Oreochromis niloticus: one gene and its partner. The protein of the gene in region 1 purifies or fractionates together with the protein of each later gene. This does not show direct contact. Links are inferred from orthologs where the notes say so. Each region holds a gene or a part of one and is shown in the gene's direction. Other genes may lie near its edges.

Region 1 (7,787 bases):
TCCTTAAATATCTCCAGTAAAGTCTCAGCTTTGCTTTCATGATGAAAATGATTATCTCGCAGGATCATCCTCACTTTTAGATTTCAGGTGAAATAACAAAACATCAGCCAAATGAAGAGATTTGATTACAGTAATGGGGTTTAAAATTAAAATATAACAGAGAACATCATCATTAGTATCAGAATTGATCATTATTAGTAGTAGCTTTTTAATAATAATAATAATTTTATTATGATTAATTTTGAAAAACATTATTATTTCTACCAATTTACTCTGAGTATGTTTTAGCTAGCATCCCAAACTCCTCTGTGTTTTATTTAAGCAGTTAGTACGTCTGCATTGTGTTTACGCACATTTAGAGTCTTGGCAGGGAAAAAACCCTGACGTGGTTTTCCCATGTCACAAGACAACCCGTCAGAAGAAGCAACAACACCTGAGTATTTGGATAAGTGCCATGTGTTTCATTTATTTTTTTTCCACACTTGGCTTACATCAATCCTTTTCACACTGCATGACAGAGTATGCAACAGTGTCACTATGTTCCTCATTGCACATAAAGGTGTGCCATTTTTACGTAGGCCCTGTTCGTAAGAATCAGTAGCTGTCTGATTCTGTTTATGTCTGAAGCCAGCTTTGAACAACTGGAATATTGAAATCCCTCTCCCTCTACAACTATTATATAAATATAAAACCTTAAATGAGATAAGCATGATTTTTTTTTTTCTTTTAACTGGGAATATGTAGATTATTGAAACTCAGAGCGAGTCCAGTGCCACAGCAAATTCACACATAGTACAAAAACATTACAAAAAAAGATAAAGTGCTAGAAAATGTATGCCTACCAGCTACTACACATCCTAATCACAATTTAAGATTTCTCTAACTGTGCAGTAAAAAGTATAGTGTGCAAATCAGTCGATATAACATTTATAGTCGTGAAAAACAAAGATTTCAACAGGACTGTGCAGCCCTTAGCACACCCCATGATTATTACCTATTATTATTATTATTATTACCTATATATATTAGCTTGTAGAACCACCTTTAGAAACAGTAACTTGGAAGTTACAACTTTCTGTTTGATTTTTCAGTCAAACAGAAAGTGACATGGTTGTGGAGGAACTTTGGTCCACTCTTCTGTGCATGTGCTGCCTTTTTCTTTTTAGAGAGAAGAGGCTTTCTCCTGGTAACGACTCCAACGATTCCAGCAGCTCCTTGCTGCTGCTTACCTTCTTAATTCCTATCGAAGCAATTAGGGTGTACTTAGTTTGTGTACTTAGTCATGTAAAAACTCTTTTCACATGGCTGTATTTACTGCAGTTATGTAAGAGAAATAGAGTGACTGCTTTGCCATCATTGTACAAGTGATTAATTCTGAGTAACTTTTTGTTTTATTAAAAGAAAAGGATAAAAGCCTTTCAGTCTGTCATTCAAATCCAAACATTGCTTCTGGATAACATGCACCACTAGGATTTGAATGCCATAAAGGCGTGATGCCTGGGGCAAATTTTCAAAGCCATGCTTAGACTGAACTGTTGCACCAGTCTGACACGTCTGGCCTCTTCTTTACTCTGGAACAAATCAGTTCACCTCTCTCATCCTCAGGTGACAGGACACACCTGCCTCTGTGTCTCCTGACCTCATATAAACAGCATTTGCCTCAGCCTCTTCTCAGCAGTCTGCACCTGACCGGCTCAGGATCACCTTGCACTTACACGCTTCCCAAAAGAAGGAAAAGTCAAGTTCGTCAACATGCCTGCCAGCCTGAGTGGCAAATGGGAGATGATCAGCAATGTCAACTTTGACGACTACATGATTGTGCTGGGTAAGTCCTTCAAGCGTGTTGTTTCCCTCATGAGAATGTGCATTCACCTCATTCAAAATGCACTTTTGTAGAAAAACACGGCAGCAGGGCTATTTATCATTTAACTGTGCGAGAAATGAGAAAATGAATTTGTGCCTATGGCTCAACCTCTGTTTCCACTTTTCCAGGCATCAGCGCTTCCTTACGAAAAATTGCTACGAAACTTAACTTAAAGAAAACAATTGAGCGGCAGGGGGACCAGTTCATCATCAAAACCACGAGCACTTTCCGAAACTACACGGTCACCTTCAAAGTGGGCCAGGAATTTAATGAGTTTACAAAGGGACTAGACAACAGACACCTGAAGGTAAATGGGAATGGCTAGAGTGTATCATAAATATCATAATTGGAGGGGGTTTTTTAATAGATAATTAATGTACTTTGAATATTATGCATGTTGAAAAACAAGTCGTGATTCACACTTTCGCTTCTCTGTTCCCTTTGCAGTCGCTTGTGAGATGGGAGGGGAACAAACTAATATGTGAACAGACTGGAGAGAAGAAGAACAGGGGATGGACTCACTGGATTGAAGATGACAAGCTTCATCTGGTAAGACTGTGAATTTGGACATTCTACATAATACACAGAATTAAAAAACTATGTATTATTGAACTCATTTTAATCTGTTATATTTAAATAAAATGTAATTATTAAAGCTTTTCTGACCCTTTCTCTTTAGGAGCTATTCTGCGAAGGACAAGTCTGCAAGCAGGTTTATAAGAACGTTTCAAAGACGAGAGAAGAAGAATGAAGAGTTGGAGGAGGATCTTGAGGTGGTCCAGAATTAGAAGGCTTTATGTATTAGATCCAACCCTGACTGAGAATCCACACCGAGAGTTACGACTGGTGTCTTACCCGTCGCTTAAATACTCGGTTCAGGTGGAAACGTCTGTACTCTCGGGGTATGCATTTACACCACTAGATGGTACCGCTGCAATACTTTTGTCAGATGCTGGTCTGTCTGGTCCTGTAGCCTGTCGGTGCGTGCCTCTATCCCAAACCGTCAAAAATGTTTATAGCACCTTTCAGCTGGCTGAAAAAAATGTATTTTTTGTTAAATATTTAGAGCTATGAGAAAAAGGAGACACGGGTGCAGCTTGTGCTCTCCGTCGTGCATTTTGTTCAATGTTTCTGTAAATTTCTGTTCATTCAAGAACACTTATAACCAGTGTAACTGAAGGTTATTCGTAGGATGTTTGGAATACAGTTTTGTTGTATGTAATATGTGAGTAAGAAAAATAAATCTGATGTAAAAGTTGAAGCATTTTTTTTTATTGTGTTCTTAGTAAACTGACAGGTTTTTGTTGTGCCATTAATCACACGTCAGCATCGGATCGACTGGTAAAGTCACCATACCCCGTCGGCTAAATACTGCTGACACACTTCAGTTATAAGTTACACTAATGCATACGATTTGCTGCTTGAGCTCTGTGCGGTGGAAGCTTCAGGTAACAGTAGTTTAGTGCTTCTGCAGCAATAGTGGTAACCAGCATGACTAAAGGACACTGAGCGGATTGTCCCGTGCAGGTCACACTTTGGGGAGAACCCCTCATGTCTCTTTGTAATTTAAAAGAGGTCAATCATCAGCGTGTGCAGCTAGTTTTAAAGCTCAATCCTACTTGATAATTGCACAAATTGCCAGACAAATAGAAATGTGTTGAGGAAATTCTGCGCTCACAGCTGCCCTTCACTGATCCACTTCTGTGCCCAGAGTAAATGTGTCATCTGATTTGACTCTGCAGCACCACCCGTCAGCTACCTATGATCCACTCCCAGGCGCTTCATACACCACTCACACTTTGCCTTAGGTGACCTAAATAGGTCACATGGGGTGGGGCAAGGTCTCATAGTGACTTTACCCTTAACCCCAGGTAATGGTAATGACCCACACCTTTTTTCACACCATCAGGACCACCTCCAAAGGGGACAGCCCCCACCAGGGGTTATATACCTGGGACTCTCCATCTTCTTCATTTGTTTTAAAAACTGAAGAAGCTTCTTGGATGGGAAGTGAAACGTCTTCACAAACCTAAAGAAATCCAGTTGACCTCTTTTTTTTCAATCTCAAGACTCAATCCAGGACAGATATTTTTGCACTTTTATAAATGTAGCTGCATTTCTCAATGCACATACCATATATTTATGAGTATTCCATGTAAATAGTGAATGAACTGGTACTTTCTAGTTAGTTGATCAGTCAGGTGGGGCAACTCAAGGTTTAAGTGTCTTGCCCAAGGAAACTGGGTATTTTGTATACTGACTGCCTGTGTTTAAAAAAAAAAAAAAAAAAAAAAAAAAAAAATATATATATATATATGTATATATATATATTTATTAATTATGGCGAGTTATTACCAAAAATTGTCAAATTTGGTTGCCTGTTCAGTTCATCTGGTGTACTGCCCACCCTGTCACACACGTGATGTGGCTGTAACTGCGGTAAAAATAAATAGGCATTAAAATAAAATGTATAGGCACATACTGTATATTGCAGGCATCTTTACCTGGTGACAGATGATTGGCAATTACGTCACTAATATAAGTCTTTGCAGTGACCTTGCACCCCTCTGACTGGCCATGGTTCACGCACGCTCAGTTTGATACGTTGTATGTGGTAACTGTGACCTCAGTTATAACCCGAGGTCATGCTAATGCAGGAGCGTTACATTGAAGTGACCTAAAACAGACTTTTATACTTACACAACAGGTGAAATACTCCATTTATCTGTGCGACACGCTACGCACCCCCACCTTTGGTCCCTTTGGTCACGTGACTTGTGGAACCAAAATGGCCGCTGTTGTATTTTGACGTATAATAGCTAGCTACTTTTCTTTTTGTTTCATTCTTGGTAGAAAACCAGCAAACAGCAGACTTTTTGGGGGAACTATATTTCGCCATCCTCCGAATATCGGTGTCGTTTTTTATCTTGAAGACAATCAAAAGCCTGACACATATATTTGTTGAATGAGTTAGACTATGCATATTTAGATCTAATACAAGCTAGCTAGCTGGCTCTGGCTGGCATATTAAAGCATTAGAAAGTGAAATAGCTAGCTGTCTTAGCTGGGATGATGGAGGAGTTGAGCGCAGATGAGGTAAGGTGACAATATGAATAAACGCTTACACAGGGAATTGAAATGATTTTACGTTACTGACGTTACAAATGTACGTTTTGCAAATTCTTCCTTTACCCCTTTTAGGGGTATTGCTGCTAGCTGAGGTGCTACAAAAACTAGCTGATGGAAGAAATACATTTTCGACAAAAATCTCAGTTAGCTAGAACACGGTAGTGGGTGTTACGCAGTTTAACTCAAAGGCCAGTTATTCACTTCTTATATTGGGAATATAAGAAGTGAAAGAACGAGAGGTGGATTTGGGCCGTGTTCTATTTAGCTGGAGCAGCTGGGTTGCTAAATGAAAGTAGCTAACGTAATGCTACAAGCTGGAGAACACTGCTCTTATATAAAGCATCGAAAATATTTCAAGATCTTGTTAGCCGCTTGTAAGTGGCAGATATTTGTCTGTGTTGTGTTTTCACAGGGAAGTTAGGAAGGGAATACCTTTTGACTGATTTGTTTTCGCGTGTCACCTCGCGGCGGTTTAGCTGACAGACAGAAATTAGCCTGCGAGACGACTCAGCATAAAAAACACACACAGAGACCGGGCCACCATTGTGCAATCAGCCGTGGGCCGATGCATGGCCATTGAGCTGTTTATGTGAAATCGCATACAGCATACTGCAGTTTACAGTCATCATTTTCAGCTGCTCGATTAGCATTCAGCAGAGTGTGCAGCAGATAATTTAGCTTTAACGTCGCTCCTCGGCCAAGCTGCGACGATTCGTGTCCGCATCTGACTTTATTCGCGATGTTTTTCTTCAGATCTGACTTTAAAACGTACAACAAAGAAAATCTGTGCCTTAATGATCTGTCTTTTCTGGGCAATATATGCATAATTTGGTTATTCTTACAGTGTCCAGGGATTTATATACATACATATAGGTTTATTATTAACCTATTAATACATTTCAACGTTATGCAGTTATGAAGAGCTACAGAGTTCTTTTAATGACCCTGTATATCTGCCCATTCAAGATTCGCAGGAGGAGATTGGCACGATTGGCAGGAGGACAAACGTCCCAGCCTAGCACCCCTCTCAGCACACCCCTGACATCCCCACAGAGAGAGACTCCACCTGGACCCCTCCCTGGACCCTCAGGTGCTGCACCCCAACCCGTGCCACCAGCTGCCTCTCAATCACTGGGCCTCAATGTCCACAGTGGTACCCCTGCTACATCCCCTATGGGCACCTCTGGTAAGAAATTAAAACAAGGTTCTGGGAGGCAATTTCCTATAAGGAAAAATAAAAAAAAATATTGAAAAAAGTTTGTGACATTGAACAGTGTTAAAATATCAAAAATCCCCCAAATCAGGGTACACTGTGACAAAAAGTGTACCCTACTAGACACGAATGGTGAGCCCTCTAGTACAAAGGTAGAATGGAGGCTTCAGTCATGCACGGGCTCTAGAAAATGCAGCAGAGATCCATGTATGGATACAGCAACAGTTTCCTGGCATTGTTTGTTGCTATGCATAGCCATGCTGCTTTAAAGGTCTTCCTTTTAGGCCCAGTGGTGCATTTCCTAAGTGATTAATAAGAAGAAAAAATACTGGCAGTTGGACAAGCCATACCTACACACCAACTTATTAATGTGTATTACATCTGACATTGGTAGGGTAATCATTCGATTGCATGATTGTTGTATAACCAGGAGAGAGCTGTTAATTCCAGCCCCCTATCCGGTGTAAGATCCTCTGTTAATCAGATTTCTCACTACCTGTCTGCAGTAGTCAGTAAGCAACTTAAAAATTCCAATCTGAGCCTTTGCTAACCCAGACTGACTAAACAGTTGGTTCTTCTTTAAGCAATAGCTGTGACATGAATTCTAAAACTGTACATGGTTGCCTATTCATGTCATATCTTTGTGTGGTTCCCAGTGGTAAGTGTTAGAGAATGGCAGTAAAAAGTGCCTTATTTTCAGCATTAAACGTCATCTTTGATTACAATATCAGGAAAGATAAAGACGATAAAAACTTATTTTGTATAAAAACTGAACTGAACAATCATTTCAAAATCAAAGCCTCAAACCTGCTGTTTCTTCTTTAAAAACTTGTAGATATGTATATTAATATTTTCTTCATTTCAGCAGCTCTAACGGAGTCTTTTTTTTCTGGCAAATGTATACTTTTTTCCCCGACTACTGCCACAACTTTAGGGCCATTTTGCACAACCTCTTCCTCATTTCGTCTTCCTTTCTTGATCTTTTCATGTCATCACACTCTGATATTATGCCAGCCATGTATAGATGTATGTACTGCGTATGTCTCAGATTTTAGTCATTACATTTACTGACATAGAAAATTAGGATTCCCTTTGATCACAACATCCAAATGCGTTTGCCAGTCCACACGCAAGGTATTTGATTCGTTTATTCTTTTTGTTTCAAAATATTTTCATTGAATACATCCGAGAAAATAGGATTTAATGTGAAACATAACTCGAGGGCATTTCAAAGAGGAATCAGCCCTGTGTGCTTACACAGTTCACTGGTAAAGGTGTCTTGTTTTCTTTCTGTACGAAGGCCAGTTGAAAGTGAAGAGTAAACATGACTGATGTTTGGTTTTGGGTGACTGTTTGACATCAATGACCTGGATCCATCATGTTTTTTGTTTCGATTTAATTTCCTCAGAGTTCTTAGTGTGCTTTTTTTTGACTGTAATGTCGTTACTGTAATCGCTGTATGTTGGGACTGTTTATACCTTGAAAGCAATAAAAAGATTACAAAAATCTATAAAACAGGAAAAGACATGATAGACTAAAATTCAATGCTGTGCAAAGGATTTAAAGTGTACAATATGAATC
Region 2 (8,027 bases), on another chromosome or scaffold:
CCTTCAAGTTTTGCATTAAGAAGCAAAAATTAGGAGAAAGTCTTGTCTTTCTATGGTAGAAATATGAAGCCCTAATCTGTTTTAGAGTACAGATTGGCGACCAATGTAATCTAGGATAACCTGGTTTGCCACTTTATGCATGCAAGCATTTTTATCTTATTTTTATCCCCCACATATTGAGATTTGGTTTGTCTGATTTGGTTCTAGTTTACAAAGGTAAACACATACAAGTCTCATAAAAAACACATAAGAGATCTGTACTGAAGCAGAACAGCAGCTGAAACAGCAGTTAACAGTTTTAACAGTTAATGGAGGAAATATATGACTGTAAAGAGACCTCACACAAAAAAACTTTAGCCTTTATTTAAATTTATAACAGGGGTGTTAAACTGTATTCAAAGTAAATAAAGTATATGTGTTCTTAATATTCAAACCTTTAGCCTGCATAGCTTGTTTGTTTGATTTTTTTGGGTTAGATATATCAAATTATCAGTCTGGTAGAACTTTTTAGTACTACCAGGGTATTATTTACCCCACATGCAGTTTGTTTGAATCTAGTAACACTGATATAACACGGGCCTCCATCACCACAGCTCAATCAAAAACACAAAGAAAGAAAGTATGAGGAAACTGGGGGAAGATATTGCAGTAGTAACCAGCTTCTTTATGAATGTTACTTTATATGGAACTACCGTTAAATGCAATGCTCACTTTCTATCAAACGAGGGCGCAGTCCGTTTAATTCATAAATATTAGCTTTTTAGCTCCATTTTTGATAGAGTATACTATCTAGCTTAGTAGGCCTACGACTTGTTTAAAAGGTAAGCTACAAACATCTGTACTAGACGTGTCTCTAGACCCGGTGAACAGAGCAGACTAAGCCTGTGTAATTCAGCCATAGCGCCTCCCTGGCCCGACTTCGTGGAGTTTCCCTTCTCCCCAGCTGTTGCTCTTCTTTTAAAATAACCCAAGTTTACCGTTGGCTTTTTCACTATGATACAAACAAAACATCCCGGTTAGCTGGTGCTTTTGCCCCCAAACACTATGTATAAATGCTTACCATGACAAGAGGGAGAAACTTGAAAACCACCAACCCTCCAGCGGAGGCGACTCTTTTCTCTGTTCAGCGCTGGCGGTGTGATTTTCCAGAGCAGTTCATTCCTCTTAGAGCAAAGCACGGCTATAACACTTTGTTTTGACGCTGGATAAAACTAGAGGGCGTTTTTCCTGAGTGTTTGGGTATGTTCCATTGATTTGGGACGGGGAGCTCTTCACAGAAACCACTCCTTGCTGCTTCGTCCAGCAGTGATGTCATGCTGACCCCCATCCCCCAGTTAACCATTTAGTCGTCGTACCTTTTTTCCGCGAACTCATCGACTTTTCTTGCCACGTTACAGTATTTCAGGATAAATACATAGTTTGACTGAGTACTTCCAAGTCCGAGTGTGTTCAGAAAACCTAAACAACTTTTTTTTTCTTTATGTATGTATTTATTTATATATTATTAGCCAATCGCTATCGTATGGTCCTAAAAGGTATGGTGGCCCTAATGTGGTAAAAATTTACAATTTTTTAATTAATAGGTTAATAAATTAATAGAATAAAACACACACACACACAAATAACGAAAGAATAAATTGTGTTGTGCTTGGCAAGTTTTTGTTTTCACCCGGAGATAACACAAATTATTGTAAATCATTTTTGGATGCTTGCAATTTGGTTGTAATTTCAAAACAACGCCATTGAAAAAAGCCACACACACACTGGCACCATCCATGTGCCGCCTAAGTAGGAAATTATGGTTCAGCAGTGGTAGTGCGCTGGGCGTCTGTGGCAGTCTGTGAAGAGCTACAAACAGTGTCTGTTGTCAGATAGGGGTTGTGTCAAAAGTATGATACTCTTACAGAGACAAAAACTAAATAAAAATAATGGAAACTGTCCACTGCAGCCACTGTCTGCAATGTTCATACAATGTTCAATTTTTTGTAATATCTTATATGGGTTTTTTGTGCTTCTTCCATTCTTGGTGGATTCTGCTGTTTTCTTCTTTTTCTTTTCCCAGTTCTGGGAACAGGTCAGCATTCGACCAATACACAGCACTACCCACATCCAGCAATCTGCAGTTGGGATTCTGGAGGACTGCACTGGAGCACTTTTAGGTTGATTGAAAACCCTTCTCCATAGCCAAATACATATGGAAATGGACACAATCATGGTGCCATAAATTAAGCATTATTTGGCACACTTTTTTCCCCCACATGCAGTCATAGACTTTTCTTTCCACATACAGTATTGCTGTACTTCATAAAACACAACATTCTATAGAAAACAAAACAATAACAGGAGTGTGCTACAAAGTGATATTAATGGCTTGGCAAATTCATTTCACTTTGATCTGCTGACAAAACTAAAGTGATTTCCACGTCTTCTTTAGCGGGCTATGGGATGGTAAAAATTAACCTTTAAATTGATTAAAGTTTGACATTTCAGAGCACTAATGTGCAGCTGTAACCTTAAAAATAAATAGTGGTACTGAGAGTGCGCTCAGTGATAAAAAATATTTTTAACTGGGATTAAAATGTTTACCACTCTTCATGTAAATTGTGAAATTGTTAAAGCCCAAGATAAACTATTTTCTTCAGTATTAATCTTTTGTCTCATTTGCAACAGGGTTGCATTTTACTGTTATATTTTAGATGTTCTTTATTGATTTTTCATCACAATTTTATCATCATCATCTGCTAATGTCTCTTATTGGAGCAGTCAGCACTCATAATGATCATTTTGTGTGAAAGAAGAGTTATACAACCCATTAAAGGCACTTTTTCTTGTGAGCAAGCACAGAGCCTGAAGCAAAAAGCCTAGCTTAACTGAGAAAGTTGATAACCGCTGTCATGATACCCATCGTATCCAACTGGGTTTTAAATTTTGTCGAGCCAGCTAAGGCAAAGAAAGCTTGGTTGTGTTGAACTACATTTATAGTATACCCCTCAGGAGAAAACAAAATTATTTGTCACAAAGCTTGAAATTAGGGCCTAGATGCACACTGAGAAGGCAGGCAAAGTAAACACACACAAAACACACCTTTAGTAGTGAATGGATCTCATTCGCTACTAAAGATAATGTTTTGTTTGTTGTTTGGATCCAATTCAAAAATGGAAAAAGTCCACAAACATGCAAGAATAAGACTGGGAAACACACTAGAAGGATGAACAGGCATGGTGATAAAGGCTGAGGAGAAGACAGTAGACTTTAATATACATAAGGGTAACCAAGAGAAGTCGACAAAGCAGAGTACACACAGATGATAAAAAATAAAGACAATGAGACAGGAGTGTAAGCAAACCTAAACACAAAACTCTAGAAAGAACTAGCAAAATAAGACAGAAAGAAACTTCTATAGAGGCCAGACCCACACAGACACCTACAGAGCTGCTAAACAACGAGGGAAACTGGAGTGAAAGAAAGCTGAGAATGTGTCGATAGTTGTGCACGTTGTCATTTGGTAGGATATTAGCAGCAAATACAAGCAATGCACAACATAATACATAAAGGTTGATTTTTTTTGTATAAAGGGTATAATTTTGTGATAAAGTCTATCATTGATTGCAGAACTGGTGAGAACGAGGCGATTACAGAAGTGTATAATTTAATGGTAGTAGTAGCAGTAGGACTTTTTTTTCAGTTATTCCCCAAAATTTGATTTGCATTATAATACAATCCTGATTTTATGAACTTTAAAAAGCATGTTAAAATTTTCTTTCTCCCTTCCTTTTCCTTAAGTGACAGATTAGTAATGGATAGGTACAGCTACAGCGAAACAGGCTGACATATTTCCTGTCAATTATGGTTTTCACAAATGTTTACTCGTTAATTGCTCATCTAAAGTAATTGATTAGCTACCCAAGGGCACTTATTGCTCATTCAAAGTGGCCACTTACACTTGTCTAGCGGTTTATTGGTAATTCAGACTAGTCTTTTACATATTGTAGCACATGTTAACCAATCAAATCAAGATTTATAGAAAATAATTGGCTCTTTATTGTAATCTATTATTCATAGTATTGTTTACCTTTGTGATAATAGCCCATAGCCCATCCCTGTTTTGTGAGATGTTGTTTTATTTGCTTTGTTGATGTTGATTTTGTGATATGAAAGAATGTCATTATTAATCTGCTTTATGCAACAGACATAGATAGTGACCTATGAATTTACATATTAATACTTCCTTATATTAGAATATTTGCATGATTGTTTATTCCAATTAGTAACACTACCAGTTCCCTCAGCAAGGCTCTCAAAACACTTTCCTCACATCTGTAAACAATATTCAGATTTTTACTTGTTTCTGTGTAAAACCTTCTTTCAATTCTGCATGTAAAAGTGGACTAATTAACCATTCAGTGCAGTATATACTGTATGCACTTTAACACACATAGTCAGTCCAATATAGTTAAGTCAGCATCATCAGAAAACAAAGAAAATATAATATAAAATATAATCTATCCACAGCTATTAACACAAATTCATTAATAATCTCTATCATTATTAATCTCCATATCAGTAAAGTGATGCCAATTCTCTGAATACTGATTTCAGAGCATGAAAGCCCATTTTGGTATTAAGTGAATCCCCACTACAGCGATCAAGGTAGTTTGAAAAAAGTGGGTTACAAAAGGTTTATCAGTTGGGGGCTGGGAAATTTTGGACTGATTCCATCTTGGACAGGTAGGATATGAAACTCATTCTATGTGGGAATACGCTAATTGTGAGATTAGAATTAGCGTATTCCCTCAGATGCCATGGGATAGAGATGCTGATGTAACAGTCTGACCGAAAGCTAAGTTGGATTAACATTTATTTTCCATTTATTTCCCATTCCAATAATGATTTTATTTATACGCGCGCGCGTGTGTGTGTGTGTGTGTGTGTGTGTGTTAAGGAGTCATCACAAATCTTCGAAAATATATCTATCTATGAATATTACAGAAAAGTGAAAGCTCCTTTGTTTGGACAGTGGACGTAAACGCAACTTAGACACGTGACTAAAACCAGGAAGTGGATTCAGTGTCAACAAAGAAAGGGTGAGTGTGCAGTTGTTCATATAGAGTTTTAGTTTTATTCTTAGTTCTGTAAGACTCAGTTATTTTTAAAGATTTTTTTTAAATCACCCAAACTAAACGGCATGAAAAGTTTAATTTAGAAAATCGGCATGCTTCGTGAGCAAACGCTAGGCAGCTAACCGGGTTGAGTGGTAACGTGATTCATTACAACCTCGTAGAAAAGGTAATCGTCAGGTAATAGCGCATTTTGACGTGAGTTCCTCCTGTGGATCATGGGTCTAAGGTTTATTTTGTGTCAAAAAGACCTGCCGTATCTTCACACTGAAGCAGAGTGAAGCTGTAATATTATACTGTTAGCTAACAGGGTATATGTTGTGGTCTACCCCACCGTGTTAAGCTTGTGTTCTGTGGACTAATTGCAGGTGTGTAGGGTTAATAAACAGGAAGAGATGGCCTCGTCAGAATGGAATCTGTCTTTGAAGCTGGTTGATCAGCCCAAATCCATCTTCCACTTCCCGGAGATGATGCCAGGTGATGTTCCACCTGGAGGATACAGGGTCGCCACCCTGAAACAGCTTGTTGCAGCTCAGTTCCCAGACTCCATCCCAGACCCTGAGCTAATAGGTACGTCACCATCATCCGTTAGCTGTCAGTGAAATCTGTGCATGTCTCTGTGTGAAAATCTCACCACTCTCTTCTGTGTGTTAACCAGAGTTCATCCACTGTGGCCGGAAACTTAAAGATGACCTTACACTGGATGCCTGTGGGATTCAACCAGGATCCACCTTACACATCCTCAAAAAGACATGGCCAGAGCCAGAGAGTAGTCCAGGTCTGTGTGTATGCATCATTTAAGCTTAAAACTGTGTTTAAGCTGTAAATGACATTGAACTTGTGAATCTGAATGTGTGTTTGTATTTTCCAGAGCCTGTAAACAGGGTAACTGCAGCAAGGGAGTTCAGGGTGTTTCATGCTGCTCTTCATTCTCTCAGCTCTGCCTACAGGGACTCAGTGAGTAGAGGAAACACACTCACGGTAACTGAGCTGCTTAGGTATTCAGCTAATTTTAGTGAGTGTTAAAAAGAACTTGATCTTTCATTCACTTCTTATGAGATTTCTCTCTCTCCACAACAACCATTTTGGCTAATATCAAATTTTATTAATACCAAACTGGCTAATATCTACATTTTGTTTGAGAAAAGAAGAACCAGAGGTCTTTTGCTTGTTAGGGAAATGTGTAAACAAGCTGCTGTTTCAGCTAGGGGTGGGTGCTGTTATGTACAATATATTAGATTAGTTAATGAAGTTATAAATTAACATTGGTTTTCCAGTGTTAGTCCATGATGTGTTAACTCTATTTGAAGTAAAGTACCGGAATAAGAAACTCATTTCAGCACCTCTAACAGACACATGCAGTAGAATGGGACCACTGAAGGTCACTTTGAGTTTCATGTATTGTCCTGAAGCTATCATTAGCTGCTTTACTTTCCAGAGCCCTGCCATTAGACAAGGCAGTTCATCTTTCAGAGAAAAGTACACAAGTGTTGACATTTTCTGTTTTTGAAAGACATGGTACTCTTTCATTAATGACAAGTGTGCGTAAAACAGTTGGCCCTAAATATGAACCACTCAGCTGGTGGTTTCACAGCTGCTTCTTTTTTACAGTGATTACATGCCTTGAACAGACAGCAGTGTAGTTCCAGTTAAGAAATGTTGTTTTGTGTTGAGATAAGGGAATAGTTATCAAGTGAAAACATGAATCAGCTGTAAGAATGGAAAAAAAATCATTCATAATTCATTGGCCATATGCCTTAGCTCTTTTTTTTTTTTTTTAGACCATGTGGCTTCACAGCTTGCATAAAGTTATTTGACACAGGCACTCAATTTTATTTTGGTCATGCCTTAAACTAAAATAAATACATAAATAAGTAAACAAATAAGCGTTTGTCCTTGACCATGAGATAGTTTGGCGCAAGCAGCTGGAATCTTCTCCACTGTCCTTTGGATGATGTCACATCTTTGTTCAGTGGTGTTTACCTCTGATTGCATCACCCTAGTTGCATGTCAGAGCTATGAATAAACAGACCCCAGGCCACTAGGAGCTGCTTTAAACATAAATGAGTTTAACTGTTGCAGCTTTTGCAGCATTCAACCTCAGCAACATTACAGCATGTTGGCTTAAAAAACGATTGGACTATGTGGATTCTACATAAACTGGTATAAATAAGTCACTACTATTCATAGTGCACTATATGAACAAAACAAGTGTGCCACATATGCATTACAGGAGCTGCTTGGCCCTGGTCTACTGGAGCTCCAGGTGCACCTTATTCAATTATTAAATCTTTCCCCCATAAAGACAACATTTGATGACCTCCCTGTACCCCCTTAATGATGAGTTTTGACACCCCAGAATAAATCTTTAAAAAAAAGAGAGATGTTGTTTGACATCCATTGGAATTGTTTCTGGGTTTTTCCAGGCTGCACAGGCAGAGACCAAACCCAGTAATCTTGTTCTTTAAGCAGGCCTGACATATGGCAGAAACCATTCACTTCAGAAAAACAAGTTTAAGGGTTACTTCTAGTAACCTTTCAGGGGGTAAAGAGTTATGAAGTGTGTGCCCCAGTTCTTTGGTCCGTATAGTGTAGCTCATAAAAGTCAGGTCAGATGATACAGCAGGTCCTGTAGATGTATATAATCAGAGGTACTTGTTAGTTCACATGCTTTGGGTGCTGTGTTATGGCCCTCAAACATCATTGCTATCATCCTCAACTTGTCATTTACATTATATATAATGTATTTGAACAACTAGTACTTGCCCATGCTACAGTAGTGCTTGGCCTCTTTGTACTTTTGGCAGACTGATATACTGCATTGCCACGAGAAAAGTGAAACAAAAAAAATCAGGTTAATAGATGTTGTTTATATGCTAAAAATGGGTCATTTTAGCCAATTGCTAAGTG

What was found. The genes of interacting proteins can lie anywhere in the genome.
Region 2: the proteins of ube4b (region 1) and ubl7b purify together in Homo sapiens (affinity purification with mass spectrometry; 3 studies listed by BioGRID and IntAct, counting the BioPlex papers as one, with this or other methods). This does not show direct contact. The link is inferred for Oreochromis niloticus from reciprocal best matches to the Homo sapiens genes UBE4B and UBL7.

Annotation. Positions count from the first base shown.
Region 1 is NC_031984.2:22,088,312-22,096,098, forward strand, and holds the start of ube4b (ubiquitin conjugation factor E4 B), read left to right. Parts: upstream 1-4,606; 5' UTR 4,607-4,933; coding exon 4,934-4,960; intron 4,961-5,959; coding exon 5,960-6,179; intron 6,180-7,787. Other genes in the region: rbp7a (retinoid-binding protein 7a), read left to right, coding at 1,753-1,825, 1,993-2,171, 2,312-2,413, 2,544-2,615. UniProt on the Homo sapiens protein: Ubiquitin-protein ligase that probably functions as an E3 ligase in conjunction with specific E1 and E2 ligases. May also function as an E4 ligase mediating the assembly of polyubiquitin chains on substrates ubiquitinated by another E3 ubiquitin ligase.
Region 2 is NC_031965.2:29,413,711-29,421,737, forward strand, and holds the start of ubl7b (ubiquitin-like protein 7b), read left to right. Parts: upstream 1-4,989; 5' UTR 4,990-5,084; intron 5,085-5,104; exon of another isoform or gene 5,105-5,297; intron 5,298-5,485; 5' UTR 5,486-5,512; coding exon 5,513-5,687; intron 5,688-5,775; coding exon 5,776-5,895; intron 5,896-5,988; coding exon 5,989-6,098; intron 6,099-8,027.